Solanum lycopersicum: one gene and its partners. The protein of the gene in region 3 binds, or shares a complex with, the protein of the main gene of each other region. Links are inferred from orthologs where the notes say so. Each region holds a gene or a part of one and is shown on either strand. Other genes may lie near its edges.

Evidence for each region.
Region 1: photosynthetic NDH subunit of subcomplex B 4, chloroplastic (region 3) and NAD(P)H-quinone oxidoreductase subunit O, chloroplastic share a complex: the UniProt entries of both Arabidopsis thaliana proteins name them as parts of the chloroplast NDH complex. The link is inferred for Solanum lycopersicum from reciprocal best matches to the Arabidopsis thaliana genes PnsB4 and NdhO.
Region 2: photosynthetic NDH subunit of subcomplex B 4, chloroplastic (region 3) and NAD(P)H-quinone oxidoreductase subunit N, chloroplastic share a complex: the UniProt entries of both Arabidopsis thaliana proteins name them as parts of the chloroplast NDH complex. The link is inferred for Solanum lycopersicum from reciprocal best matches to the Arabidopsis thaliana genes PnsB4 and NdhN.
Region 4: photosynthetic NDH subunit of subcomplex B 4, chloroplastic (region 3) and NAD(P)H-quinone oxidoreductase subunit S, chloroplastic share a complex: the UniProt entries of both Arabidopsis thaliana proteins name them as parts of the chloroplast NDH complex. The link is inferred for Solanum lycopersicum from reciprocal best matches to the Arabidopsis thaliana genes PnsB4 and NdhS.
Region 5: photosynthetic NDH subunit of subcomplex B 4, chloroplastic (region 3) and photosynthetic NDH subunit of lumenal location 1, chloroplastic share a complex: the UniProt entries of both Arabidopsis thaliana proteins name them as parts of the chloroplast NDH complex. The link is inferred for Solanum lycopersicum from reciprocal best matches to the Arabidopsis thaliana genes PnsB4 and PnsL1.
Region 6: photosynthetic NDH subunit of subcomplex B 4, chloroplastic (region 3) and photosynthetic NDH subunit of lumenal location 5, chloroplastic share a complex: the UniProt entries of both Arabidopsis thaliana proteins name them as parts of the chloroplast NDH complex. The link is inferred for Solanum lycopersicum from reciprocal best matches to the Arabidopsis thaliana genes PnsB4 and Pnsl5.
Region 7: photosynthetic NDH subunit of subcomplex B 4, chloroplastic (region 3) and photosynthetic NDH subunit of lumenal location 2, chloroplastic share a complex: the UniProt entries of both Arabidopsis thaliana proteins name them as parts of the chloroplast NDH complex. The link is inferred for Solanum lycopersicum from reciprocal best matches to the Arabidopsis thaliana genes PnsB4 and PnsL2.

What each region holds. Positions count from the first base shown.
Region 1 is NC_090810.1:1,415,110-1,419,071, forward strand, and holds NAD(P)H-quinone oxidoreductase subunit O, chloroplastic, read right to left. Parts: upstream 2,412-3,962; 5' UTR 2,315-2,411; coding exon 2,086-2,314; intron 2,022-2,085; coding exon 1,945-2,021; coding exon of another isoform or gene 1,913-1,944; intron 1,711-1,912; coding exon 1,645-1,710; intron 1,541-1,644; coding exon 1,499-1,540; intron 1,389-1,498; coding exon 1,329-1,388; intron 962-1,328; coding exon 932-961; 3' UTR 686-931; downstream 1-685. Other genes in the region: uncharacterized protein, read left to right, coding at 1-245. UniProt on the Arabidopsis thaliana protein: NDH shuttles electrons from NAD(P)H:plastoquinone, via FMN and iron-sulfur (Fe-S) centers, to quinones in the photosynthetic chain and possibly in a chloroplast respiratory chain.
Region 2 is NC_090808.1:66,282,218-66,286,743, reverse strand, and holds the start of NAD(P)H-quinone oxidoreductase subunit N, chloroplastic, read right to left. Parts: upstream 3,067-4,526; 5' UTR 2,797-3,066; coding exon 2,658-2,796; intron 1,167-2,657; coding exon 802-1,166; intron 710-801; coding exon 593-709; intron 499-592; coding exon 413-498; intron 1-412. UniProt on the Arabidopsis thaliana protein: NDH shuttles electrons from NAD(P)H:plastoquinone, via FMN and iron-sulfur (Fe-S) centers, to quinones in the photosynthetic chain and possibly in a chloroplast respiratory chain.
Region 3 is NC_090811.1:46,151,037-46,155,171, forward strand, and holds photosynthetic NDH subunit of subcomplex B 4, chloroplastic, read right to left. Parts: upstream 2,698-4,135; 5' UTR 2,483-2,697; coding exon 2,411-2,482; intron 2,329-2,410; coding exon 2,272-2,328; intron 2,192-2,271; coding exon 2,056-2,191; intron 1,978-2,055; coding exon 1,922-1,977; intron 1,852-1,921; coding exon 1,780-1,851; intron 1,203-1,779; coding exon 1,074-1,202; 3' UTR 953-1,073; downstream 1-952. UniProt on the Arabidopsis thaliana protein: NDH shuttles electrons from NAD(P)H:plastoquinone, via FMN and iron-sulfur (Fe-S) centers, to quinones in the photosynthetic chain and possibly in a chloroplast respiratory chain.
Region 4 is NC_090807.1:67,427,372-67,430,615, reverse strand, and holds NAD(P)H-quinone oxidoreductase subunit S, chloroplastic, read left to right. Parts: upstream 1-1,774; coding exon 1,775-2,527; 3' UTR 2,528-2,651; downstream 2,652-3,244. UniProt on the Arabidopsis thaliana protein: NDH shuttles electrons from NAD(P)H:plastoquinone, via FMN and iron-sulfur (Fe-S) centers, to quinones in the photosynthetic chain and possibly in a chloroplast respiratory chain.
Region 5 is NC_090809.1:53,936,791-53,940,621, reverse strand, and holds photosynthetic NDH subunit of lumenal location 1, chloroplastic, read right to left. Parts: upstream 2,447-3,831; 5' UTR 2,300-2,446; coding exon 2,173-2,299; intron 2,095-2,172; exon of another isoform or gene 2,081-2,094; coding exon 1,994-2,080; intron 1,926-1,993; coding exon 1,852-1,925; intron 1,772-1,851; coding exon 1,649-1,771; intron 1,530-1,648; coding exon 1,458-1,529; intron 1,372-1,457; coding exon 1,275-1,371; intron 1,202-1,274; coding exon 1,098-1,201; 3' UTR 892-1,097; downstream 1-891. UniProt on the Arabidopsis thaliana protein: NDH shuttles electrons from NAD(P)H:plastoquinone, via FMN and iron-sulfur (Fe-S) centers, to quinones in the photosynthetic chain and possibly in a chloroplast respiratory chain.
Region 6 is NC_090800.1:5,016,330-5,020,796, reverse strand, and holds the start of photosynthetic NDH subunit of lumenal location 5, chloroplastic, read right to left. Parts: upstream 2,978-4,467; 5' UTR 2,703-2,977; coding exon 2,679-2,702; intron 2,528-2,678; coding exon 2,339-2,527; intron 1,659-2,338; coding exon 1,508-1,658; intron 1,303-1,507; coding exon 1,214-1,302; intron 460-1,213; coding exon 405-459; intron 274-404; coding exon 188-273; intron 1-187. UniProt on the Arabidopsis thaliana protein: NDH shuttles electrons from NAD(P)H:plastoquinone, via FMN and iron-sulfur (Fe-S) centers, to quinones in the photosynthetic chain and possibly in a chloroplast respiratory chain.
Region 7 is NC_090804.1:2,507,847-2,512,073, reverse strand, and holds photosynthetic NDH subunit of lumenal location 2, chloroplastic, read right to left. Parts: upstream 2,900-4,227; 5' UTR 2,859-2,899; coding exon 2,376-2,858; intron 2,286-2,375; coding exon 2,187-2,285; 3' UTR 2,167-2,186; exon of another isoform or gene 2,072-2,166; intron 1,972-2,071; exon of another isoform or gene 1,833-1,971; coding exon of another isoform or gene 1,617-1,832; intron 1,524-1,616; coding exon of another isoform or gene 1,400-1,523; intron 1,309-1,399; coding exon of another isoform or gene 1,091-1,308; 3' UTR 895-1,090; downstream 1-894. Other genes in the region: casparian strip membrane protein 2, read left to right, coding at 1,091-1,308, 1,400-1,523, 1,617-1,832. UniProt on the Arabidopsis thaliana protein: NDH shuttles electrons from NAD(P)H:plastoquinone, via FMN and iron-sulfur (Fe-S) centers, to quinones in the photosynthetic chain and possibly in a chloroplast respiratory chain.

The DNA of each region.
Region 1 (3,962 bases), on a different chromosome or scaffold from region 3:
AAGAAGTTGTGGTGGACACTGGTAAGACCTTGGCAGTAAGTGAAAGTTCAGACATCAGGAGTAAAGAGAGCTTGTTGCACAGAAAAACAGAGAATTGTATTTTTGAGTCAGCGGTTGGATTGTCAAACAGTTATAACCCAAGTTTGCGGAAATTATACCGGTCTATGCATGTACCAGTGCCCCGACCCCTTGCTTCGTTGACAGAGCTTATGAATGCTACTAAGCGTGCTAGGAGAAGGCTGTAAGTTCTGATTTTTCCTGGCATCATTTCTTCATTAATTTCTTCATTTCATTCTCCACCCTCATCGCTTTCAGATATTGATACCAAGTACAGCATTGTTTACAGAAAAAAATACAGATAACTTATACTCCATACCACCTGTTCTTCACCTTCCCTTTTTACAGGCTGCTGTACACTGAGACTTTCCAGTTACCTGCCTACTGTATATTGTGTGTACACTATAATTTTATGAAAAAATTAATGGTACATTGAGACGTACATTTCGATATTCATTTATAAACCGACTCCATTCTATTCAATATGGAAGGTATTTTGTGTTTAACTGATATCATATTTCAGTTCTATCCTTCCCAGACCCCACTTGTGGGATTACATTGGGTATGTTGCTGTTTATTTATATTTCAGTTGATCTAGAACGTCTCTTGATTGTTACTGGAAGCTGTCTTTTACCTACTGAATAGTCCAGGATTGTTATATTAAGCTTCTTAAGAATCAATTTAACGATTATTTAGTGTCAACTGAGAAGCTGATTGAGTGATCTTTAAGGAATAATAATATATTTAGCAATAAGTAAATTCTGGAGGTGTGTCCATCTCATCTCTCTTCATCTCTGATGAGCAGCGGTCAATCTGATGCTCCACTTTGATTTACTCGTCTGGCATGTACTGGTCTGTAACTGTGGACTCGCCACTATATTCTCTCGTAATCCAGCTTATCAGACTGCAAAATTTGTTATTGGTTAGGGAATGTGTGATTACGCAACAGACCACTTGCTTTTTAGCAAGGTGGAAACTGTATCATCAAATAAAGATACGATACTTGGGAGGATTGCTTAAGTTCATATAAGCAAACCACCAGTCCATTCCGGATACTTGGGAGGATTGCTTAAGTTCATATAAGCAACCCACCGGTCCATTCCCCAAACCTCCGTGCAGTTAATTGCTATGAGTTTGTCCAAAATAATTTTCACCAGAGATTCTCATTTGAAGTGCAAGGAGGTTTTTTTAATAGTGTACCATAAAAGGTACTCATGAAATGATGCAAATTGCTGCTTTAGTATTTTGAATGATTTCAAAAGGCTAATTACCTTAATTAGCATCTCTGTTGGAAGCCAAGCTGGTGCAGTTGGTATTCCGATCCATCCAATCTGCAGCATAGGTAAACTCTCAACTTTGATCTCTTTATATATTCAGTGAAATTTATGTTTCGAGGTGTGTTTTGATATAATAAATTGAATTTCGAAAAAAATATACTTACAAGTGCATATTCTCCTGTCTCGAATATACGAATATCCAATACCTAAACAGATATATGATTAGTTTATTTTATAAATAACATGTTGTTCCAAATTGTATTTTGTTATCCCTTTTGACATGATCTATAGAGAAATAAGAAAATGGTACCTCACCACGGTCTTCATATATGTAGTCCAGACCTTTGTAATAAGGTGGATGATCAACAGACAAATACTGAAGAAATTTATACAAAAATATACAGTCAAATTCCAGTGCAAGGGTGTCCACAACTTCCAATTCAGATTATTATCATCATTCATAAGCATGTAGAGGATACAATGCTGATTGGTAAAAAATTATAGTATATATATCTTTATTAAAGAAGTCCCACTAAATAGGTCTGAGAAGGTAGAGTGTACATAAACCTTATCATTACCTCGTGAAGTAGCAAAAAAAAACAAAACTCACATTGATGCTATTCAGATACTTCTCCTTTTCCACCCTGACTATCTGACCTTTCTTCACTGCCAACCAAAACAAAAAAGCTAAACTTCTATAAACAAAAAATTAGTGAAATTTGAGACATTTTCATGAAATAGTACTACTCACTAGAATAAACCGGTTTTTTAGGCTTTGTTGCGGTGGCTGTTGTACTAGAAGAAGTTGTTGTTGCTGCTGCTGCTTGAGATTTTGGCTTCTCATTATTTTCTTGTGGTTCAGATGAACTATTTTCTGCTTTAATAACAAAAGGGCTATAATTAATCCTATTTTTTCTTGTTTGTGAAAAAGATGATGAATATATGAAGGAGGTGTGTGAAAATGCAGCAGAGAAAGCCATCTCTATAGTTTTTTTTTTTTTTTTTTGGAGATATAACTAGTTTAGTTGTGGCCAATATAAGTAGATAAGGGCATGCCCTTTTTCCCCCTTCTTCAACGGCCAGATTTGAATAACAAAAATTAGTCTGCTAATAAATGGGATTACTCTATTCTCGGTTAAGGATTTCGAGTTTGAATACTGAATTTCGATGTCATTTTTGTTGAAAATTACTGTGGACGTCCGTTAGAACTTTTATCTATGGAGCCAATTGGTTGTCACGGTCAAAACGACCATTTTAAAGGTCAAACCATCTTTTTAGTGATCCAGAATTTTAACGTTATTTGCCGAAAATTAACATAGTTAAAACCTTATCTATGGGGCATATTGGCCACTACAGCTAAAAAGGACCCATTTTCAAGGTTAAACGAGTTTAGAGTAGGTAAACCCCCAATTTTGTCGAGTGTTCTGTGCTATAGTCTATGAAATTTTTGGTGAATAAGAACTCTGACGTCATATTTTCTGAATTAACATGGATGATTGTTAAGATCTTATCAATGGAGTCAGTTAGTCACCACGATCAAAACACCCCATTTTGAAGGTCAAACGATCCAGAGCAGGTAAACCCTCATTTTTTTCAATTTTTGTTTACAAGTAGGTAAAAAACAGATTTTATCGATTTTCGTATGACATAACCCATAAATTATTTTTACCCAAAAATTCAAAACAAAATGGTCGAATTTTTTCATGGACGTCCTTTAAAAACTTAGAAATAAAACTAGCTCGTCTCGTGGAGAAAAATGATGCATTTTTAAGTTCAAACGTGCCCAAAGCAGGCAAAGACATATTTTACCAATTTTTATGTGTTATATCACATGATTTTCTTTTTGATTCGGGAATATAAAAAAATGGCCAAATTCTTTTGACATCCGTTAAAACCATATAAATTGAACCAGTTCGTCCCGCAGGGAAAAATCGTGCATTTTCAAGTTCAACTGAACCCCAGAGCAAGAAATTTGATAAAATTTGTCTTTGTCTGCTTTGGAATTTGTTTAAACTTGAAAATGTGTCTTTTTTCCCCGCAGGACGAAGTGGTTCCATTTTAAGGTCTTAATGGTCGTCTATTAAATATGCGGTCATTTTGTTTTAGGATTTATGGATAAAAAATATTATGGGCTATAACACACTAAAATCGATAAAAACTACCTTTGCCTTCTTAGGGGCTCGTTTGAATTATAAAATACATCATTTTTCCCCGCGGGATGAACTCGTTTCATTCCTTAGCTCTTTACGGACGCCATGAAAAATTTTGGCCATATTGTTTGGAAATTTTTGGATTTAAAAAAATTCATGGGCTATGCACACAAAAATCGATAAGATATGTCTTTATCTATTTTAGGGTTCGTTTAAACTTGAAAATGCACAATTTTTCCATGCAGGACAAATTGATTCCATTTTAAGGTCTTAACGGACTTCCATGAGTAATTTCAGCCATTGTTTGGAAATTTCTGATGAAAAATATAACACATAAAAATTGGTAAAATTTGCCTTTGCCTTCTTTGGGGCTCGTTTGAACTTGAAAATTCACAATTTTTCTTCGCGAGAAGAACATATTCTATTTCTAAGGTCTTAACAAGTGTCTATGAAAAATTTTGATCATTTGTTTCCAAAT
Region 2 (4,526 bases), on a different chromosome or scaffold from region 3:
CACCTCTTGAATAGAAGGGAATTCAATTCTCAAAAAGATGAACAACAAGAACATATTCAGTGTAGTCCCACAAATTGGGGTATGGGGAGGGTTGAGTGTATGTATACCTTAGCCCAACCTCAAAAGTAGAGAGGTTGTTTACTATTGACCTTCGGCAATTCTAAAAAGATGAAAAAAAAGAAAACCAAAAGATGCTATCTTTATTAAAGTACTTGTCCTGACTCTTGCATCTACAAGCTAAGAATGATGATAAAGTATGTAGCATTGACCACAGAAGGCTAAACTGAAGTAAATCCAGGTAGCTTTTGCATACAATGTTGTTTTAACCACAACGACAAGATCTCAAAGTTTCCTTATTTACAAGAGAGTTGATTGATAAACAAGAAAAAGGAAGATGAAAGGAAAATCTTACCAGTTACCACACTCTGCAATGACCCTCACATTAGGACGAAGTGTCGGGAGTAAAGCAAGAAACTGCAGCTCTGCCTTTGATAAGACCTGAACATTTTAGGTCAAACAGTTAACAAAGATCTAGTCAAAATACTGCTGATGGACTAATTAGATGATGTACACTTGAAGGGGTGGATTTAACCTTGGCTTCTATTATCCAAACCACTAATCCTTTAGCATCCGGAGGAAGTAAAGAAAGCCTATAATCAACTTCTGGAGGAAAATACCATCTAGCTATTGGTTGCTTACCAACATGAGCCTGCAACATCAAAATTTGCAGATGAGAGTCAATTAGACACTGCAAGTTAGTGTTTGAGAATAAGCATATCGTATGCGAACTGCTAAACTTACAGGGCAGACAGGGTGGAATTTGGTAAGAGTGGTTTCAGGGTCACCGAGGCCACGAGCCGAAAGGTCCAAGAAATGATATCCCTGGTACTTAAGACGTGTAAGGTAGCGTCCTTCATAGCCCCCTTCATGAGGAGAGTAAATTGCTATGGCTTTGTGTTCTTCCACATCTGATAACCATTGACCCAAATCAGGTTTAATGAGATCTCCACCTATGAAGTCCTGAAGTTCAATGTTACATCTAATTGCTCCTTTCTTTTGTCTTCCAACTGAATCAAGTCTTCTCGTTCTCACAGCCTTTGATATGCCATTTAATTGTACTCGTTGCTTCTGCAGACCATAAGACTGCACTGCCCCTTGATAACAGGCTGCATTTTGCCATTTTAATTCAGATTTCATGGTACATGACCGAAAGAACAAAGGCATCATAATGAAAAACATTGAACGTTAAGACATCACTCTCAAAATTTAATTAATGCGAACAGGATAACAGTATCATTTTGGTGCTGCAAGTGTGCATTTCCACATGTAAAAGGTAGAAAAAGTTATAAATAAGTCATTTTCCAAAGAGAACTGATAAGATTATGTTACAGGGAGAACTGAAAGGGTGCCTACTGTAAGCAACCTGTGAAACTCGAGAACCAGAAGTCAGTTTTTACCATTGTCAACAATGGCTAGAAACATTGCCAATGCACTGCTTAATGTGACAGTGCATAACAGTAAGCACAAACATTTTCAGCTTTATAGACCAATATTAGGGAAAGTCTGGATTTCATACCATGTAAAACAATAACAATCGGGAACAAATGTGAGTTGGAGCTGAATCTCTACTCACCCAAAAAACAAAACTTCAAAACATAATTAAGTAAATGTACACTTTCACTACCTACCCCACTAATATTTACATATAACAAGCTGGAATCACCCATTATGATATCAAGTCTTGATCTTTTTAGTTCTTTAACCATCACCCTAATTTTGTAACAACACATAATAGCAACTAAGCATACGTCTTCACACACACGCACACCGTGATATTGAACTATAAATCTGAAAATTGGGAACAAATGCGAGTAGAAGCTGAATCTCTACACACCCAAACCATAGCTTAAAAACAGAATTAAGTAAAGTGTACATATCACTCCCTACTCAACTAAATATTCACATTTAACAAGATTGAATAGTCCATTAAGTTAAGTCTTGATCTTTTCAGTTCTTTAACCATCCCCCTAATATCAAGATATTATAACAACACATAATAGCAACTAAACGTTATACATCTTCACACACACACACACACACACCATGATATTGAACCATAAAGCTGAAAATTGGGAACAAATGTGAGTTGAAGCTGAATTTGTACACAACTTCAAAACATTATTAAGTAAAATGCATACTTCCACTCCCTACATAACTTAATATTTACATTTAACAAGCTTGAATCAACCATTAAGTTATCAAGTCCGTAAAGATATTGTCATCCGGACCTAACTCAATCGCAAAACCATACACCCTCCTTCACGCTTAGGCCCCTTGAGAGCGAGAACCAAAAGCTCACACCGGGAATGAACCTGGTACTCATACCATGTAAAATTAAGTTTTAGGCCTATCTAAACTACCTCAAAGGTAGGAGGTGCTCAAGCCTTAACCACCAATATGAACCCCTTTTTTTTAAAAAAAAATAAAAATTAACACCCCACCTCACACAGATGCAATATTATTACAAAGTCTTGATCTTTTCACTTTTTTAGTGATCACCCTAATATCAAGATATTGTAACAACCCATAATATCAATTAAGCATTATAAATCTTCACACTGCGCACACACACAGAGAAAGGGGTTATTGGGGATGACCTGAAGAGGAACAGGGTTGGTCTTCAGTGGAAATATTGGGGCGCCGCCGGCAAGAAGACCCATTGCTAGTAATCAAGAACCTCCTAGTGCTGCTGCTGCTGCTGGTGGTGCTAGGGAAGGTGTAGGAGAGAGTTGTCATTTGGGTATTTTGGTGGCAGTGTGTGAGTGGTGGCAGTAGGCAGCTATAGCAACAGAGACTGTGGAAGGACCATTGCAAACTTGGACAAAGATGACTACTTTGTTCCTTGCCACTCAATAAATGTGCTGATAAACTTTACAATAAAGAAATTACAAATAACAAATATTTAAATATGCATAATAATATTAGCTATATAAATTTATGGGATAAGTTCTATATTTTAAAAATTGAAATGATGTTTTGGGGAGAATTTAAAATTTGAGATAACATAATCTCAAATTAGTTATTCAAATTTTAATTTTATATTGTATATTCAAACATAGCTAGAATAATAATCATAAGGTGAGAGTTCAAACTCTATTGTAACTTTTTTAATGAAATAATTTTGTGATTTAGAAAAGAACAAAAGCCAAACTTAAACCTAATTTATATATTTTGGATTGAAAATCCAAAATCCAAGTAAAGATTATGAAATTTCCAAACATCCTATTTAATTGCATAAGTTGTCCTTCAAATAAATTAATTTTTATTCTTTTATATTTTGAATTTTTAAAATAAAACAAAGTTAAGTATTCATTGTAAAATTCATAAGGAGTAAGAACGTTCACCACAGATAAAATATGAATTGTGATACGACCATTAACATCTAAAAAAGACAATGTTTCACAATAATTACTAGTAAAACTTTTGAAACACATAACAGAACTCCAAAAATAATTGGAGCACATATATCTCCTTCCTTTAACTAGAACACGTACTATGGTGCTTTGATTCCTGCATCATATTTTGAAAATAAATTTATACCTTATAAGACATAAGTTGTTTAAGATAACAAAATATAACCAACACTCAATATATAATGATTTTAAAATATAAATTACCAGTGAAAATATTATTTATATAGTATTAAAACATAAAAACTAAAACCAGCTCTGTTGTAAGAGGGAAAATAAAAAAGACAAACTTTAGGGCTTTTTATATAGTAATCTCCCTATCGAAACCTCAAAGATTTCCCATTTCTGCAAAACCCAAATGGAATCCAAAGAGGACGAAGCCTCCCAAAGCGGAGCAAACCCATGGAAATTCAGTCCATTTCAAGCAAAGATTTAGTTTTGTTAAGGCTTCCGGTGAAATCCCTTTTACAATTCAGGTCTGTGTCGAAATCTTGGCTTTCCTTAATCTCTATCCCTAAATTTGTGAAGACGCATCTCTTATTTTGTGCTAGTAACAAGGAGTTATGTTTAAGGTTGCTATTTATGTTGGCTAGTTATGTGTAGTGATTTACATCGCCATTCTGTAAAGGAGGTAATTGACTTGGATTATCCAGGTAAAATTTCCAAAGACTATCCTTGGCTGGTGGGTTCGGTAAACAGATTGATTTGTGTTGCCTATGTAACAAATTGCATGACTTGTTTATATGGAATCCGTCAATTAGAAAGTATAGCAAGTTGCCTAGTTATAGACTTAATCGATGTGGTGGATATCAAGTGGAGGAACCTGGGGATAGCAGATTTGGTTTTGCGTTGATGTGCTTCAAGATGATTACAACGTAGTGGGAGTTTGCCCTGTTTACAGAAATATGCGTCTATGTCGTGTTGAGGTCCAGATATATTGTCTAAGGAGTTTATGGGAGGCGTATTAACGGAGTTTAAAGATAGATTTTTTTTCCATTTTCGGGGTAAGCTTGTGTAAGGGAAACTTCATTGGATTGAAATGGGCATGAACATTTC
Region 3 (4,135 bases):
TTCTGTCAATGAATATCCACAAACGTATGTATAAATGAAACAATGAAACGGTCAATATGACAATGTGAATATGCAAATTTCTTTTAATATTAAAATGCCTCTACACTAACATAATTAGTGATTACCTCTCGTCTTCGATTCCAACACTCTTCTTGAGTGACTTCTTAATTATTTTATTAAATTTAGTAACTTTTGAGTTATCAAATAAAGTTGAGTGATTTTCTATGTAAATCATTTTAAATTGAGTAAATTTGTAAGTGAGTTATTCAAAATTGAGTGATTATTATCTCTCAGTTTTATCAAAGGAGCAGGTTCTCTTTATCAGTTTTCCCTGTAATGTTTTAACAACATCTTCAATTCTTTCTGGAGATCTATCAAAGACATGGTTCCTACGTATCACTATTTTTTGTACACAAATTGCCACTTGTACAATGTTTATCAGTCAATAAAAAACTATGCAGTCTTGAATGTAAATTCAGAGATGATATCTTTTGTAGCTTTAAGCCAAAATTCTTTCCAATCTCCTCAACCAGGGAGGGAACATATTGGCCATTATTATTATTTTTTAATTTTATTTTTGAAGACAACGGGATTTCACAGTCACTATTCTTTGGGTGCGCACAAGGTAATTTTTTCGCTCTTATGCAATAGCTCACTACTTGCAAGCCTGCTGCAATGAGTTCGACCCAAAAGGCAAACTTCTTGCTTTCGCTGGCAGGGGGTTTCAAACATGCAAGTCCCAAGGTCAAACTACTGATCCAACCCAAAGGGTTAACAATTTGGCTATTATTGAAGTAATTTTTGATTTCGTGATGTGTATGCCATGAATCTTGTTAAAAGAGCATTGCATGACTTGCTAGTAGCAAATACAAAAAGAGAACTGATTCTGTACAGTGCAAATGTTGACATTGTGACAGTTCATTAAGACAACATTTTGAAGGGGAAATCTGAGTTTTGCAACATAACACTGAATTAAGGCAAAACAGCCATGTTGTATAGAACTGGAAATCATATATTGTATATACATAACTGGGAAGCATCATAAAATTTGTTCTTAGCACATATAAAGATGATCATTTGACCAACTGTTCCTTCTTCCCAGCTTCTTCAAGCTCTCGAAGACTCCCAACCTTTTGTTCAATCTCCTCTATCAGTTCATCACGCCACAGCTCTGCTCTCGCTTCTTCTTCGATGTCTTCTTGCTGCACAATCACAAAATCAGATTTGTAGTATCATTCACTACACAAATATCATGGCATTCCACCTTGTAAAGATATCTATATATCTTGAATAGGACATTTAGGTGCCAAAATTCATGTTGAAACAAATTCAGACAATTCGAAACTAGCTAGTATGATTTTGACATTTATATGCATAAAATTATTTCAGTAAAGTTTTATTTTAGAAACGAGAGATGTTCTTTTAATGGAAAAAACATTCACATCAAGAATTCAGGATTTAGACTACAATTAACTCTTTAAAAACCTTTTTTTCACCTGTCAAAGCTAAAACTCGCATGTGAGGTATAAACTATGATAATCCATGTTTTATCCGTGTGTTTGGTTGGAGGTATTAAGCAGTTCTGAGATTATTTATGATAAGTTATCACATTTACATGATCAAATAATTAATTCGTATAATTAATCCTAATATAACTTGTTCCCAACCAAACGACATATTAACTGAAACCTATAAACATTTCTCTGTCGCGAACAAGAAAGGGTATTTTTCCCTTTTGATTTTCTAACCTTGATAGAAAACGGAAAAGAAAAACTGTACCTTCTCATAGACCCAATGTCCAGTACCATCACCTCCATCTCCTCTGTATTGTTCTGAATCATAGTAAGGATCCTAAAAGAAAAAAGACACATAATAATGAGATACAACTCAATTTTATGAAGTTTAATTTCAAAAATTTTACTTTGGTAGAACCGAAGAAACAGCATCCCCAAACAGTGAACATGATGTAAAATGTATCTACAATGGAGAAAAAATTAGGTGTGAGAATTTTGAATTAGAATGATAAAAATGAATTAGTAAGTAATGATTACTCACAGACATTCTTCATGGCTTCATCACTAAGATGCCAAACAGATTTATGAGTTATGAGGTCTCTTTGACCTTCCATATGCTCAACTAATACTGCCATTAATGGCCAATCTGGGAGTGCCTTCACCCTATTTCTTTCAATCTAATCATAGAAATCCACAGCATTAATTATGCTTTTGCAAACCATACTTGTTCAAATCAATAATAACATGTAAAACCTACCTGGTGCCTCCTGCCTGCATTATTTCCAAAAGGTGAGGTTGGACAATGCCTTAGCTGCTGAGAAAGTGAAAAGAGGTAATTAGTTAAGCAGAATTAATTATAAAAAGATTGAATTTGAGATACAAGTAATGGTTTTAACTGATTTACTGAAAGGGTGCAGCAATTCCGATGTAGGACTAGGAATAGAGGGTTTGATGAATGTGAAGCTCATGATTTGAGTTTGGGATAGTTATTTTTGGGTTCCTCTATTCCTTTTATCCGAGTTATAAGGTTAGGAAAACACATAAGAAAAACACACGGTTCATCTATTCCCTTTATCCGAGTTATAAGGTTAAGAAAACACATAAGAAAAACACACTCTTCTGCTTACTCACAACTATTATTTTCTCAAACAATTTTGGTTTTGTCTTATTCTTCCTTTACCACACATCATACGCATCTTGGATATTGGAATTTAAATCATTGGGATATTTGCTACACTCAATACTTATTTAGCATAAAACTTATTAGAAACATTTATAATTAATGTAGGTGTAAATTACAAAAAATTATATATTATTTTATGTATCATAGAAGATATAACTAAAATATAAATAAGTAATACATAAAAAATGTATTTTCATTACTAATGTTAACATAAAATTATAACTAAAAAGAATTAAAAATATAGAAAAGGGTCTAAAATACCTTCGAAATATTGAAAATGGTACACAATTACCCTCCATCCATCTATTGGCCCCCAAATACCCTTCACACCCACCCTTGGGTCTAAATTTACCCATTCATTAACAAACCAAAATTAAAAATAATTAAATAATAATTTTTAATTACGTGGCACTCAACCATTGATTGTAATTTAATTATTTAAAATAATTTTAAACCCACCTATTTTAACTAAATCCGCCCACTTGACCCAATTTTAAAAATAACCATCTAATTAAAATATGCTAAAACCTTATTCCTCCCATTTTCACAATTTTCATGACTCCATTGTCTTTTCTTCTTCATGAAGAAATTTCCAGCTTCTTCTTCGATTTCTTGCCCTGAAGAACTTCAAAAGGATAATAAAATCCATCACTCCCCCCCCCCCCCTCACCCCCACTTTTTTTTTTTCAACACACACACATCACCTTCCTCTTTTTTCTTTGCAGATCAAGAAACCAGAGCAACTTATAAATAAAAAGTATTATCACTAACTAAAGTCTCCTAATTGCTTAACATCCATCTCTATCTTTCATTATCTTTCCTCTTATTCTACTCACTCTTCACCTTAATTCTTAAAACATTTTCCTAAGATTAAACCATTGAACTAGCTGAATTAAATCAAACAGTAATGCCATTACTGTTTGATTTAATTCAGCTAGTTCAATGGTTTAATCTTAGGAAAATTCAGCTAGTTCAATACCATTTTAATTTTGTGACATTTCTTAAGCATTTGAATTGATCTGGCAAATTGTGTTATCTTTCAAGGAAGATCGAAACGGGATGATGGTAGATGGGCGTGGCAAGATACCCTTCATCGTGATAGTCGTTCCAGTAGTAGCAGCAGGCGTTATGAGCCTTCACCATTGCCAAAGTTTCTTGGTGCTTCACCTGATTCTCGACTCGTTTTCCCATGGCTCGGCGATCATACTCCTCATTCTGCTGGTATGGTGTCTGTGAATTCTAACACTGGCGTTGTTTCGTAAAAATATGGTCATCAGTAAGATCTTCAAGTTTCAGATATGGTGCAAAATCCAGTTTGATTATGTCTTCTACAGGAGGTGCTCTGTCTGAGGTACTGTTATATACTCAAAGATGGGTTAATTGAATTTGGGGCGGATCTAATTTAGGAATGGGTGGGTTTTTAAATTAATTTAGGTTA
Region 4 (3,244 bases), on a different chromosome or scaffold from region 3:
ATGATTCTTTCTTGTATTTCTTTCAAATCAAGTTTAGAAAATTAAGAATTTATGGAAAATAATTTTTTTACCTCAAAGAATTATAAATAAGATTTATGTACTGCATTTTTTCTAAACACCACTTGTGTTTGTTGTTGTTTTGAGTCAATTTCTACAAATACATTCTCGAAACATTCAATGTATGATATTGTTTATTCGCACAAGTAAATGTAAGATTTGAAGTTCACATTGAAATTGTTTATTCGCATAAGTAGATGTAAGATTTGAAGTCCATTAATTTTTACGATAATTTTAAATTAATAGTATATATTAATTATTGAATTTATTATCAAATATTTAATGAATCCTATAGAGACAAAAAAGAATTCTTTTCGTCCCCATTCTGGCTATTGATAGGAATAATTTACGCTCCAATTTATGCAAATTCAATGTGTACACTATATACACCTTTTATCAATACTTATTATCTCTAAATTGTGTTTAATAATGTATTAAAGAAAAATGGTATGAAATAGCAAAATATGTTATTCAAATTAAATAATATAGCTATGATTTATTTTGTTTGTAATTTGTCACAAACATTCCATTCTTTTGTAATCTGATTCGCTATACAATTAGTCATTTCCGATATATAATTAGACATTTTATATATTTCGATATAGAATGTATAAAATGTGTTTGTGTTTGTATGAAACGAGAGAAAAGATTATATACAAATACATACATACATACATACATACATACACACACATATATATATATATATATTCGTTCTATATACTTATGATTATATAAATCTAGATCTTATTATACAAATTACAATTTATAAATGAATTTATACAAAACTGAACAATCTGAATAAAATTGGATGTATCTAGCGAATTATACAAATCAAAAACTCCATAGCAAACATAAAATTTATTATGGAACGCAATTATGCAAACTATATTTACAACATACAAATATGATTTTTATGTTTGCAATTTGTGAAAAATTACGTCTTTAAAAAAACAACTTTAGAGGCTATTTAGATGAACTTAAAAAGTAACTTTTAAATCAAAAATAAAATGTCAAACTTAAATGATTTATAAGTTAAAAAATAAAAGGCAGAGGAAGACCTACTTTTGATTTTAAACTTATTTTAAGTCATTTTAAAGTTATTTTTAACTTTGTCAAACACTTTCTGACTTATTTTAAGCCATTTTTTACTTACTCTAAGTTATTTTTTATATTTATCGAACACTTCCAAAAATAAAAATAACTGACTTTTAAATCAATTCAAACGCCCTCTTATTTAATCAACTATATCTTCTACAAGACCCCTTTCACATGTGTGGTCCTGACTTTTAGAAATTCCTTTTGATAACAAATAGCAACATAGCGCGAATCTAATACCTCTATATACTCTGATCATCAAGTTAAATCATATGATCATTTTTTAAAAAAATCTTAAATTATTAAAGAAAAACATAATATATCTCGTGTAATTTCATAAATGAATATAAAAATTATAATTTACTTTTAACGCAATTCCTCACGTGTGGTCCTGATTCTTTTTGAAAGGATGGTGTAAAACATGAGTGCAAGTTTAATCTTTTTCCAAGGAAGATAACATCATTCATGTGTTTCATTTGTCAATAGAAGATATCAAAACAAAAACAGATTGGTGGTCAGAATTTGAAAGGACAAATTACAGTTTCCCATTTCTACTTCTCATCTCATCCTCTACCATCATCTTTCCCAAATCCAAAGTTCTTGAAAAAAAATCAAAACCATGGCTTCTGCTTCTTCCTTTCAACTCTCAAGCCTTCAAATTCAAACCCCACCTCTTAAAAAATCAAACTTTCTTGGTCAATCTGTCAATCTCAACCTCAGTAGTAGTGTTCATACCAAATCAGCTATGAAATCATCTTCAAACTCAGTTACACCAATAGCAAAATTCAATCTTTATGAGATTCTTGGAGGTAGAGGTCTGTGTAATGGAGAAGAGGGTATAGAGAAAGAGCTAAAAAAGTCGATTTCCGAAGAACAAAAGGCAGTAGGATCAGCAGCAGCAGCAGCTAGTGATGATGATAATCAAGAAAACAAGGAGACTGGGGAGATACCGGAGGACGGATTTGAGAAAGAAATGATGGGGTTTACTGGCGGATTTCCGGGAGGTGAGAAGGGTCTAATGAAATTTATAGAGAAAAATCCACCACCACCACCACCCAAGAAAACAGAATCAAGTATGGTTTCTGGTTTTAATCAAAGTCTTGTGAAGAAACCAAAGCCACCTGAATTGCCACTTTTGTTACCTGGGATGATTGCTATTGTCAAGAATTCTAATAATCCATATTATATGTATTGTGGGATTGTGCAGAGGATTACTGATGGTAAGGCTGCTGTGCTTTTTGAAGGTGGGAACTGGGATAGGTTGATATCTTTCAGGCTCGAAGAACTCGAACGTAGAGAGAAAGGACCGCCAATGGTGAATCTTAAGTCTGTGATACTTGAGAAGATGGTAGAAAAGAGCTCTGAAGCTTGAATTGCTTCAGTTTTTGAGTAGATTGTTTGTTCTTTTGTCTTTTGGGTTGTTGTACATACAAGCTGTAAGTTTTGTAATGGCAATGGCATGTAATAAGAAATGCAGAAAAACTTTTGTGCAGGAAGAGTTCTGTCCCAAATGAGAAGTTCAACTCTTAGCAGTGATGTTCGAAAGAACTCTTAACAAAAACAACGTAAAAAATAAGAATCAGGTAATTCAAACCACTTGCAAAACATATAGTCAAATATTTAATATGATTGCACAAGATCTAGTTTTGTTTAAGTAATGAATCCTAGCATGTTCTTCTGATCAATTCATAGATCATTAGATACCATCAGTAATGAGGATCTGAAATATCACACGTTTTATCGAGCAAAGAGAGAGTCTAGCAGAACAACAACATACAGTATTTAACAGTGAGTGATAAAACAATTCTTACTTTTCACAAGCATGAGGTACCTCTGACACCACATATGGTGGATCTTAGACTCCATCCAATTGGACAACAGGTCGATATCGATGTAGATAAGTTCAATAATGATAGCTAGCCTGAGAGAGAGTATACAATGGTGCAAACTGCAAGATTTTGACAGATTCTCAAACAGATGGACCAAAATTTTATAATGCATAGTCTGCAAATGTTTACATTCAGTATCAAGGTAGTAAGCCAATCCACGCATTAGCCTCCAATGTCTAATGATCATTAATTAAAGATGT
Region 5 (3,831 bases), on a different chromosome or scaffold from region 3:
CTAACTAGGATAAAAAAGCAAACTCGTCAAAATTTTGTGTGATTCTACAAGACGAGCTCAATCTTTGTTACAGTTCACAGAAGTTACTCTATTCTAAATCCTAGTTCACGCCTATATAAGGGTAAAAGTTACTTTATTCTAAAACCTAGTTCACGTTTATATAAGGGTAATATATTCCCTTGAAGAGGTATGTCAAATATGTCATAAACTCCTAGAATATTCACAAAGAGATCAAGACATCAAATATTGCCTTACAATCAAATATATCTCAAAGAGGTCCAAATTATCATATATTCGAGAAATATGTTACTAACCACCCTCGAATAACAGATTTAATTCAGAGAGAAAAATCAAGAGAACTTATACTCGCAAATACCAATGAAAAACTGTGTTTCATCATATTTTATAGGCATAATACATATATTGGACCCTAAACTTGACTTCAAATTTTGACTTTGACCTCCAACTTTAATAGTGCACAAATAGACACTTAAACTATCATACCATTAAATAAATAAACACACGATTTTTGGAGACAAAGAGAGTGAAATGCAAATGCTCCCACGTATATTAGTGAGCCACTCAATGACTGCCAACTAATTAAATATTTTATGCGTCCATTTTAGAATTTAAAAAAAATTTAAATGAATTTTGATTTGGAAATATAAAAAAATATATAAAAGGGATTCATTAATGGTGGAGTTGTTATTTCAGCATTTTTTTACCATTGTGGACCTCAAAAATTACTACTCCTAACTCGCACAAAATACATGCACATTACATGTTTGCCAGGTACGACTCGCGTGTTTATTTATTAAAGGGTTAGATAATTGAAGTGTTTGTTTGTTTACTATGAACGTTGGAGGTCAAAGTTAAAATTTGAAACCAAGATTAGATATGTATCATGCCGTACTTTATTTGTGCTTTATTTTCCATCACTTTAAAATTTGTCGTTAACACTTCACCGCTTCAACTACAAGGGGATTTCAGTTACTTATGGGATAGCCAGAAACATTCTTTGTACTGTAATTCAATAAACAAATTGCAAATCCTGTTTCATGGAACAAGACTCTATCATTGCAGCTCTTAGAACAATTCTAAATGTCCAACACCTGAAATGAATCAGCCACCACTTTAAGTTTGTTGCGGAATTTTCTCCATCGCCTTTCATTCGCTCCCACGATTAATGTGTAGTATCTCCCTGTACGAAATGTCTTAATACGAATGCAGAAAAATGTAATGTACAGTTAAAGGAAACAAACCAGATCACTTACCATTTGCAATTGCTATAGTAGCAAATGCTGCCCGCGAAAAATTTGGAGATGTCAATACATATTCAAAGGTGAAATAGTTTTTCCCATCCGTAGTTCTCTACATAATTTTGAACAAAAATATGGTGACTAATTGAAAAAGAGCTACGTATATTGTACAATCAAGAGAATAAGAAAGGATCATACCTCCTTCATTTCCATTATATTTGCCACCTGATTCGGTGCAGAGTAAACATGTTTTACCAGATCGGGCACAACCTTTAGGAAAGTAGAAATAAGTTGGTATGACGAAGAAAATACATGTCTTTTTTATATTTTTCTCCTCCTTGATAGCTTAATAAAAAACGGCTACATAGATGAATAGTACCGCGATTTACCTCTTGCATTGGCCCCAAATCATGGATATCTGTTTTATCAGTTGGTATAAAACTAAGTCTTACATTTTGCAGTTGTAGATACCTATCTTTAAATGCAGAATCATGACCTCTGAAATCGAATTCCTGTACATACATCCAAAGTCAAAATGAGAGTTTACTAATTTCTAAAAATTCATTTCTTAAAAAAAAAAGAAGCAACATACCCTCCAATCTGATGGATAGTAATACGAATAACCATCTCGTTTGTCAACAAAGATTTCATAGTTCTCCGGTACTCCTGCATACACGTCATTTAATTATAAAAAGTAAAAAGTTTAGAGAATAAAAATTATAGTAACAGAGTACCTTGAGCTAGAAGGGGAGTCGCGGGTAATAATAAACCCAACGAAAGAGCCCCTGCTCCTAATAGATATGACCTTCTCATCAAGCATCCTGAAACAGAGATACTAGTAGAATTTTACCACGGAGAAAATGGCGTAAATGCAAACATGACTTCATAATTGATCGATATGAAATTTTCTTACTCTGTTGATTAGGGGACGTGTTTTCTGATGCCGAACATGTAATAATGTTGTGTAAGCCATGCCTATTCAAATTGTTGGCTGCTGGTGATGGAAGCCCAAGATTCAATGAGAGTGAAGTAGCTGCCATTTTTGTGGACAAAAATCACTAGATTTTTGCTTAACATGTTTATTTTTTCTCCTAATACAATCACTTTTTTTTCCATCATTTTTTCTTGCTCAATAGGATAAGATGCAAATTAAATGTGAGGATGACCTTTCCTGCCAAGGTCCAAATGGGCTTTTATGTCTCTTTCAACTACAACTAAATGAGCTGTGCTTCATATGTGGGGCTAAAATTTGACTATATCCACATTGATAATTTTTACTAATTGTTCTTGCAAATTTTTCACAAGTTTACCATGTCATAAATATCTGTATGTAACAACAGCACAAACTTGAATCCTTGATGGATGAGGCGGATCTAATGTATTGATACCGAGTTTATCTGAACTCAGTACTTTTAATGCGAAATATAAATTTATGTGTAAAAATTCATCAAAATTGCAATAGATAGTAAATGTAAACTTATAACTTAAAAATTAATGGGTTGATCAATGCTAAAAACCTTAACAATTGACTTCGAAGAATTTAAGATAATGATACTTTAACAACTCGACCATATGAAATGTGATATCAAATGCACCCATGTTGATGTGGAAAAACCAAGCACAGGTTCTTTCAATCACTGTATAGCACAAGCTATTTGAAAGGAAATCCAACTGGCGATGCATCAATGATCAATTTACATCCTAGCGTGGAGGTATTCATCAACTGTGTAAATGCAACGCCAAATATAATTGAAGAATGATCAAAGGGTACCAGGGGTGGAGTACGCCATGTTAATGTACCTTGGATGATCCAAATCTCAGTGTATGCGTCTAAAGTTTCAATCCTGAAATACAATATACAGGAAAGGAAAAATAGCAAGCAAACAATAATATTTGTATTTGAATTAATACTAAGGTTACAATCTTTATAAAATATCTCAAAAAGATATTTAATCCCCTGATTCTTCTCTTCACAGATGTTATTGATTTGGCGGAATACTTGCGGCTCAACCCTTGGAGCGAAGACTTCTTTATATGCTGAAAAGCAATTATGTATTCCTGTGTATATGTATTTTTTTTTGTCCTTTTGGTCAGAAGAATACCTCTTTATATAGGCTTGAGTTAGGGCTTTAGGGTATTTTGGTCTGAGCAATTTTGATCCCTGGGCCTGAAGAACATGAGTTGGGCTCATCTTGTCAACTTAATGGAATGATCCAAATGATTTGGACTTGATTTAAGTCATACAATTTTGGCTTAGATATTAATTAGACTTTATCAACCAGTAATTTGACTTGGTCAACATATGGTGATTTAAGATTTAATCCAAATGTAATATGGATTTATCAATAAAACTTCAGTGTTTACAAATGCCCCTACTTTGAGGCTTGTTGAGGTGCTTGATTTGTCGAACTTGTAAAGACAAGCCTTGAAGTATTTGTGAAGCAAATGTTTTTTTTATCGTAGTTGATCTTTCACGAGACATTTGAAGCTTCATGAGAGATGACCATGTCGATATGTTAAGGTCAACATTTACCATAGTCTTTATTACAATATTTTCTAATTTGTAAGAGGT
Region 6 (4,467 bases), on a different chromosome or scaffold from region 3:
CTACCTAATGGTCAAAATTCCAAAATGAGCATATAAACCTCTTTAATTTCATATACCCTTTTGCAATATGATAAGAGTACTATTGTAATCACAACTTCGCAGTCAGTATTTTTTTTTTTTTGAAAACAACTTTGCAGTCAGTATTCACAAAAGATATTCAGCTGATTGAGATTCCTATTCCACATACCTTTACAGTGCAAATGAAGAATTGGCTTCCGTTGGTATTAGGCCCTGCATTAGCCATGCTAACAATCCCAGGTCCGGTATGAACCACTGCAATTACACAAGGATTTTTCATCACAAAAGAACATTGAACACAATTGACAATCTGAACCAAAGGGGTCCATTGCCTTAACCACAAGGAGAAGTTTGAAACCAATTTTTAAGAAGAAAATCCAACTTACACTTGAAGTTTTCATCCTTGAAGGTACGACCATATATGCTTTTACCACCGGTTCCCTGCGAATAAAAAATTAAATCCATGGGGGGAAGATTACAATATGCCAGAATGGCAAGTGAAAATTTTCCAAATTATGAACTGCAAACACTAGAACACTCTTCAATCAATCTATGCATATTAAATATTGGAGCAGTCAAGTTGTGTGCAATAACACATTCCACTTAAACAGAATTATTGAATATGGCAGTAGTACATATTCCACTGAGCATCTTAGCTCATGTACTCTTTCACACATTCAACTACTAATCAAAGAAGACATCCCATTCAGAAACATAGAACAAGCAAAGTTACATCATGCAAGTTCATTACTTATTTTTGAAAAAAAGTTTATACCATGAAAATTGATAATTTAGAATACAGAGATCTTACGTTGCTACAAGCATCAGGGAAGTCTCACAAACACAGAACCGAAACAAACTGAAAAACAACCTTTTCTTCTCTGGTTTTCCATGGTAGAAATTGGAGCCATGGAGGATCCAAAAGATGAAGGATAAACCACCAAACAGGAACAAGAAAACACTAGGCAAAGAACTAATTCAGAATTTTGCATTTCTGTTAATTTAAAATCTTGCTCAAGGTGAAACAAGCAAAATAAAAGGCTAAAAGATAAGCACCCAAAACACACCAAGTGTACTACAGAAAATACAATGAACTGGGTGAAGGATGTGTGTGTCAAGAAGAATGCCAATTAGAGGAACAAATAGAAAAAAAAAAGAAAGAAAGAGAAAGCAAACCAGGTGTTGAGACACCTACATTTCCCTTGTCGAAATCACCCCCTTGAATCATGAAATCTTTAATAACACGGTGAAATGCAGAATCCTTGAAGCCAAAGCCCTTCTCACCTGATCGGAAGAAATCAATCCAAACTATAAGCTAAACATAAATGATAGAAAGAATTATATGCATGAAGCTCAAGCAACAAGGCAGAATATTATAGCAATAATGATAATGAGAACAAAAACTGCAATAAAGGTAGTAGTGATAGCAGCACTAGTCATAAGAATATCGACGACAATAATATTAATAACATAAAATCTATTAAAGAACCTGTGCAGAGTGCACGGAAATTTTCAGCTGTCTGTGGCACATCATCACCATATAATCCAATTACAATTCGCCCAGCAAGTTTTCCAACAGGATTCCCAATGCTAATATCAAAATAAACTTTGTTTGTCACTTTGGATTGCAAATCCGCCACCTGGATTTCAATAAATACATTCAGATCTATTAAAAACTTCAACCAAGTAATGAACAAATTATGGAACATTAGTCCCATACAAAAGGCAACATAACACCATGTTTGCTGAAAACTGAACCACAGCCATTCTAATCAATGCTCCAAGACTTAAAAATCCGCTTCCACAATTAACTTTGCTACTTAACAAAAGAAAACACTGCATTATATGACAGTCTTCTCATTTTGGGTCATATTTGACATCTCTATATTTTTATACCAATTTCACAAGTTGTAAGTATTAAAAGTCCTTGTTCCACTCACAAATATTATGAAGAACTAAAATTTCTCTTTTCACAACCTTCGATATAAACTTTTTTTCCAAAAGTTGTTCATAGTTTCTTCTAGCATCACCAATACTATATACAAACCTAATTTAACATATTCTCACATAAAATGAGACAACGAAGTAACACTCAGCCACACATGCCATCTGCAACCAATGTATTCATCTACTTATCCCTTACATTTAGCTCTAGAACTTAAACAGAAAAGTTATTCCTCACAGAAACCCTAGAACGCATATTTACTAGCTCAACGCTAGACATATTGACTCAATCATCAAATTTTCGGCGAAATCAAAGAAGAAACACACAAACAGTAGAGCAATCACTAATAAATTAGCTCAGCGAGCGAGCACAGACCTCCACCGCGGCTTGAATAGAACCAGATGAACCGCCGGTTTTTTTGTGAACCGAACGGTTTGAAGAAGTGTCCAGACGCAACGAACCACCAAATAAGCTTGACGATGAGAATGAAGATTTCAGCAACTTCGGATAAGCAGCATATGTAGGGTTCGCAACTCGTGGAACTGAAATTGAGCCTAAATTCGACTGTAAACGGAGAAACGTTAGTCAACTAAAACAACAACAACAACAACAACAACGCTCTATTTCCAAAAATTAGTGTTATTACTACAAATTAGAAGGCAACACTGAACAACAAAGCTCAACTGCAAATTATTGAGAGGTTAAAGAAACTCACCACTGAAGCAAATGTAGCTGCCATAGTTGCCGATTTCAGTTCTCCGGTACGGCGAGTTGAACTGCAATAGAGATAGAGAGAGAGAGTGTGTGTGGTTGGTGAAAATGAGGGACAAAGATGGTGTGTGACGGAGATGACGAGCCTCAACCCTCTTGTATAGACCGATTAGGTAAACATATCCATTACAAATGGTAAAAAAGTTGTTACTAGAGTATAATATTAGGAAATAGCCTAATTTTTACCATGGTTTAAAGTGCGAGATCGTTTGGTTACTGGATAAGGATTGAGTTACGTTACATAAGTTATACTATATTTGATAGCTCTTTTATGTCAAGATATAATGTTTTAACACACATAATTCTATGTTTCATTAGAAAATTAGAAAACTATTGAAGTAATACATGTATAAGTTATGAGTCAATCCATGAATTATTTTATGCGAGTTCGAGATGAAATAAGTTATACTTGAATAATTAGTACTACATGAATAAAAATATAAATTGACCACTTTACGTTTCACTCTCAATCAAATATACTCCACTTCTTTTTAAATAAACATTCAAATACTCTCTCTATATTTGTAGATCTAGAATGTGACTCTTCATCTTCCAAACAAATAAAATGAAAAAAACTTTCAATTTTGTGTTTTTTCTTTGCCATTAAAAGTTCGAAAACTCTAAACTTGACTTATTTTTTTTATTTTCTTTTTCTCCTCTTGTTTTCTCCTCTTTTAATCTGACGAGAAAGGAATGAAATTCTAGGTCTTCTCAATATATTTTTCAATGAAGTTGATGTTTGAGTACTCCCAATTTTGATGTGAGTTTTGTTTTATTTGTTCAAAAATCGTGTTTTCTAAAAAAGGATTCATTAGGTTTAGTTTCTAAAACTCCAAAAAATGAACATGTATTTGAAGTGTGACAAAATAATATTAATATTTTAGTTATTGAAGTCGAACAAAAATAAGACATTTTACCTTTGTTTTTCAATATTACTTTTTATTTTTTATAAAATTGAACATTTTAGTTTGAAATCATCTATTACCTGTGTATAATAATATTCTCCCATGATGAGCTCCACGTTGAAGCCTTCTATATATATATAATGTTATAAAGAGTACAATGTATCAAGTAGACTATGATTGTGGTAAGAGTACAAGCTTATGTAAATAAGTGTTAGGTAGTGGAGCCTGATTAATTTTAGGTTTTCCTATTTATTCTTTGTAACCAAAAATACTCTGATTTATTAATATAAATATACCTCACCGTCGTAGAAGTTTACTCACGGGGTTTTACCACGAAATATTGAGTTTTCTCTCTCTCTCTCTAGATTTCTCATCTCTTTCTCTTGAAAGTTCTTGTGTTCTTCAATCATCTAGTGTGTGTGCGTGAATCGATCCTAACAACTGGTATCAGAGCTAAGGAGATTCAACACGATCACAGAAGATGGATAGTTCGAAGCTTGGAATCAAGAAGTTTGATGGATCCGATTTCAGTTTCTGGAAGATGCAGATCGAAGATTATCTGTACCAGAAAGATTTTCACGAACCGTTGACCGGGGTGAAGCCGGAATCCATGACGGAGGAGAAGTGGAAACTCAAGGATCGTCAGGCTCTAGGGTTGATCCGGTTGACTTTGTCAAGAAACGTGGCGTTCAACATCGTGAAGGAGAAGACTACGTCCGGTCTGTTGAAAACACTGTCAAACATGTATGAAAAACCATCGGCTATGAACAAGGTATATTTGATGCGTAGATTGTTCAATTTACAGATGTCTGAAACTGATTCGTTTCT
Region 7 (4,227 bases), on a different chromosome or scaffold from region 3:
ATTATGTATTTAAAGTGTAAGAACTAATAAGGTTATAACCAATAGTTGGTAGTTAAGTAATTCGTGTTCATTTCTTATTTTTTGAGTGCCTATTACTAAACCGATCGTTAAGGTCATTCATTTGATTTCCATTGGTTTTACTATCGATGAATCAAGATCTGCTATGTATTTGGAAAGACGAAGATATTGGTGGTGGACATGCTAACGATATCGAAAGCAACGTCTGAAATTTAGATTGTTGATCTTTATTATATTATGATGCAAGGAATAGTCAAAATATAAATGAAAATAAGTATTTTCTTTTTCCAAGGAATAATTTTTTGTTAAAATTTTGAATTGAAAAAATGAAATTACACGTTTCACAACTTTTTTTTGGATAGATTTTGACCTACTCCATAAACTTGTTCTTTATTTTATTTCTCATTGTTAATCAAAAAGTCAACCTATTCATTATTTTACTTTCTAGTATTCTAATTTCTCATGTTTGATTCTTATGTTCAAGTAGAACTTTGTGCCTAATCCAAAAAACCATTTAGGACCATAACCATTGTTATTAGTATATTATCAATTGACCTAATATAATAAATCAATGATCATAAAGTGTGTTTGCAAAACATTAAAAAAGAAAAAAAAGATAGGACAAAGAATGTTGAAGTTTTTATCGGGAACAACCTCTCAATTCCATAAAGTTAAAAGTGACGTATGCATACATACTACCCTTCTCAAATGGATTGCAACGTGTCGTGTGCTGTTTTAATATCGCGATTTCTCGTATATAATGATACATTTTCTCGAGAAAAAATACATTTTCAAAATACATGTTAGGAAGAAAGTAGAGCAGGTAAAAAGTGTAGCAAGTTAATGCAAGACTTAACTACTTTATGGAATATCATGAACCAGAAAGTTGTACATTTCATTGATTAAATAAGCAAAAGCAACAACTAATTATGTGTCATCAAAACCTAATACTATTTGTAACTCTGTTACATGATTTGGTTCACTTGTTAGTATAAATTCGCATCACACTTGACATACAAATCATAACAACAAAATTTCATTCTAGTTTCAAAGTTTGAGCTAAAAGGAAAAAATGAAGGCAGTATCAATTGAAACTGGAGAGGGATCAAAGGCCAAAAGAGTTCATGGAGTGAACAGAGGAATCTCTGTATTTGATCTTGTTTTACGTATCGTTGCACTTGTTGGAACCTTAGCAAGTGCTGTGGCAATGGGTACTGCAGATCAAGCACTTCCATTCAGTACACAGATTGTAAATTTTGAAGCTCAGTATGATGATATCGACTCGTTCAAGTAAGCAAAACTGCAAACATATTATTACATGAAATAGAACAGTATAAAGGTTAACTAACACATTTTTTTGTTTTGCTTATTCTGATTGAAGGTTCTTCGTGGTTTCGAATTCTATAGTTTGTGTATATCTTGCACTTTCTATCACTATTTCAATCTTTCACATTATCAGAAGTAGAGCAGGAAAGAGCAGAGTTTTGCTCATTGTTCTAGACGCGGTAATACATTAGATTTCTGCTAAAGTTTTCATATTTAGTACTTTGTTATGATGTTGTACTGATATCTTTTATACTTTGCGAAAACTTTTGAAGATAATGCTGGTTTTCCTCACATCTGGAGCATCAGCAGCAGCCGCGATTGTGTATTTGGCACACAATGGCAACACTTCAACTAACTGGTTTTCGATATGCCAACAGTATACAGATTTCTGTCAACGTTCTGCTGGATCCCTTATCGGTTCTTTTGGTGCAATGGCCTTGATGGTTATACTTATAATTTTGTCATCTATCGCTTTATCAAGGCGCTGAAGATGTTGGCTACACTAGCAATTGCTAGCCTTTGTGTGTGTATTGTGTTTGTAAATGTTAGTTTCATCAGTTGCATTTCATTGTATCAAGATTTTCATCAGTTGTATCACATAATGAAAAGATTTCCTCCTTACTTCAATGTTTTCATCTTCAAATATCACGTTTATTCAACTAATAGTTATTCTCTCATAAACTCGTATGTAATCTTGATTCCAATTTCATCAACTCGCAGACCAAGCTTATAAATGAACATAAAATTGTATATAATTTCAACGTTTTTCGATCAGTTTATTTGTTAAACCAACGCGATTTTTCTGCTACAACATTCACTCACCTTTGAGCCTGATGATATTATTATGCAAGTAATCCCACCAATTCATCAATTGATTTCAACGTCTTCTCATAGAATACACGAGATTCATATACCTTTGGTGTTCGAATGTAGTAATCAAACTGCAGACGAAGAAAATACATAGAAATATCCATAACACTGAATAGAACCTCGAAAAATTCTGAACAGGGAAAATAAGGACAGTTAGTTACCTCAGCCATGTTATCAGTAAGCTCATTGACAGTTTTAATATAAGACTCTTTTCGACTTTCAGGCACCCTGGATAAGGCATTCTTCACGTCCTGTTTAAGATAAGCTGATTTAAGTCGTATATAAAACAATACATACCTCCATGAGTTAGTCTCCAACATCTCTTTAATACTATGTAGTCCATCTGCTGTTTGACGAATTCGTGCTACTGCATCTTCAGGGGACAATCCAGGCTCAAAGAAATGTTCTCTTAAGAATGATCGAACGCCCCAATTTTCAGCTAATGCTAAAGGGGTGAATTGTAGGCCTAGTGTCAATGGAGTGACTAGAAAAGTCGCGATGAGTTTGCGTCTACATGAGAAGTTTTGTTCATTAGTTGATAAGTTAGATTGGATTTTGGGTAGTGTCTTGCATTGTGTGTGATGAGTTTTGGTTATTTTGGTTTTTGGATGGAACAAAGTTGTAGGATTTGTGAAAGTGGTCATTTTTGTGTTGAAAAAAAAAATCTAAGGAGTGTTTGATGGTTTTTGTGTGTGTTTTGGATGGATATTAATTGATTTCCCTAAATCCAAAATGGACCTTAGGTTTTGGTGACTTGGCAAATATTTTATCCTCTTTTTTTCCCAATAAATTTTGGTGTTGTTGGGTCAATGGTGTAAGAGGCTTTGTTCTAGTTGGCCCAATTTTGGAATTTGTTTAACTTAGGGTTGGCCTTGTTCAATTTGAAACTAGTTTTACTTGGTTCGCATTTTTTCGGAATCAATCAAGACTGAACACTAGTAGCCCTATTTCATTGACGGGTTGGGATCAATCTTCTATCAATCGAACAAATTTCTTATGTTTTTCCCTTGAGGCATTCAATTCTCGTATCAAAACAAATTTGAGTTCAACATTGAGATTAGACACTAAAAACCATTTAAATTATGCTGAATTTTTCAACTATACACTCCTGAAATAAGTTATCACCGTCATAGAGCAGAGTAATGGTATCAGGATTAGTTATCCCAAAATAAAATAATGAAACTGACAGAAACACCCTTGAAGTCTATGATGTTATTTTTCTACACTACAACAAAAATAATTTTTGGCGGCATTAAATATTGACATTGATAAAGAGTGCGAAAGTCTTTACCGGCATTAGTTAAGTATCATTAGAACCAATGTTGCTAAATATTTTATGGACATATACAAAGAGTGTCAATTGCCGCTAAAAATACATATTTAACGACAATTAATGATTATTTTTGTTATAATGACTGGAGAGTATTTTTGTGAACAAATTATATCTTCTTTAAAATTATGAAATACATGTTATTTAGTTTTTGATATAACAAATCAAATCATCAATAAATTATCTTCATAAATAAAGAGATATAAAGCAATTTAGGCAAAAATAATACATTATTGATTGTGCATGAATAATTGCTTTACAGCTAAAATATCTAATGTCTCTAGCTCCCACATAGTTGGACTAATAATAATTGCTTTACAAATTAAAGCAACACCTTTAATTTACAAAAAATAATAGATGAGAAATGAATGGATTGGGATGATAAAATTATATAAACGAATTATAACTTAACTGAAAAAAAGAAATAATTAGAATTCTTTTGTAATCCCTATTAGTATAAGGGTCGTTAATAGTTTGTTTGATTAAATATTTTAAATACAAAAAATACTTGATCAAACTTTAAGCGAAAAAATAAGTACTTATAAATTAGTAATAATGCTACTCGTTGAATTATGACATGCGTAAAAATACATCTTGAAAATATTAGTGAAATATAAATTACTAATAAAAATACTTTTCAATAATTTAGTTAAACACAAACTGAATCAAAGTACTTTTTTCAA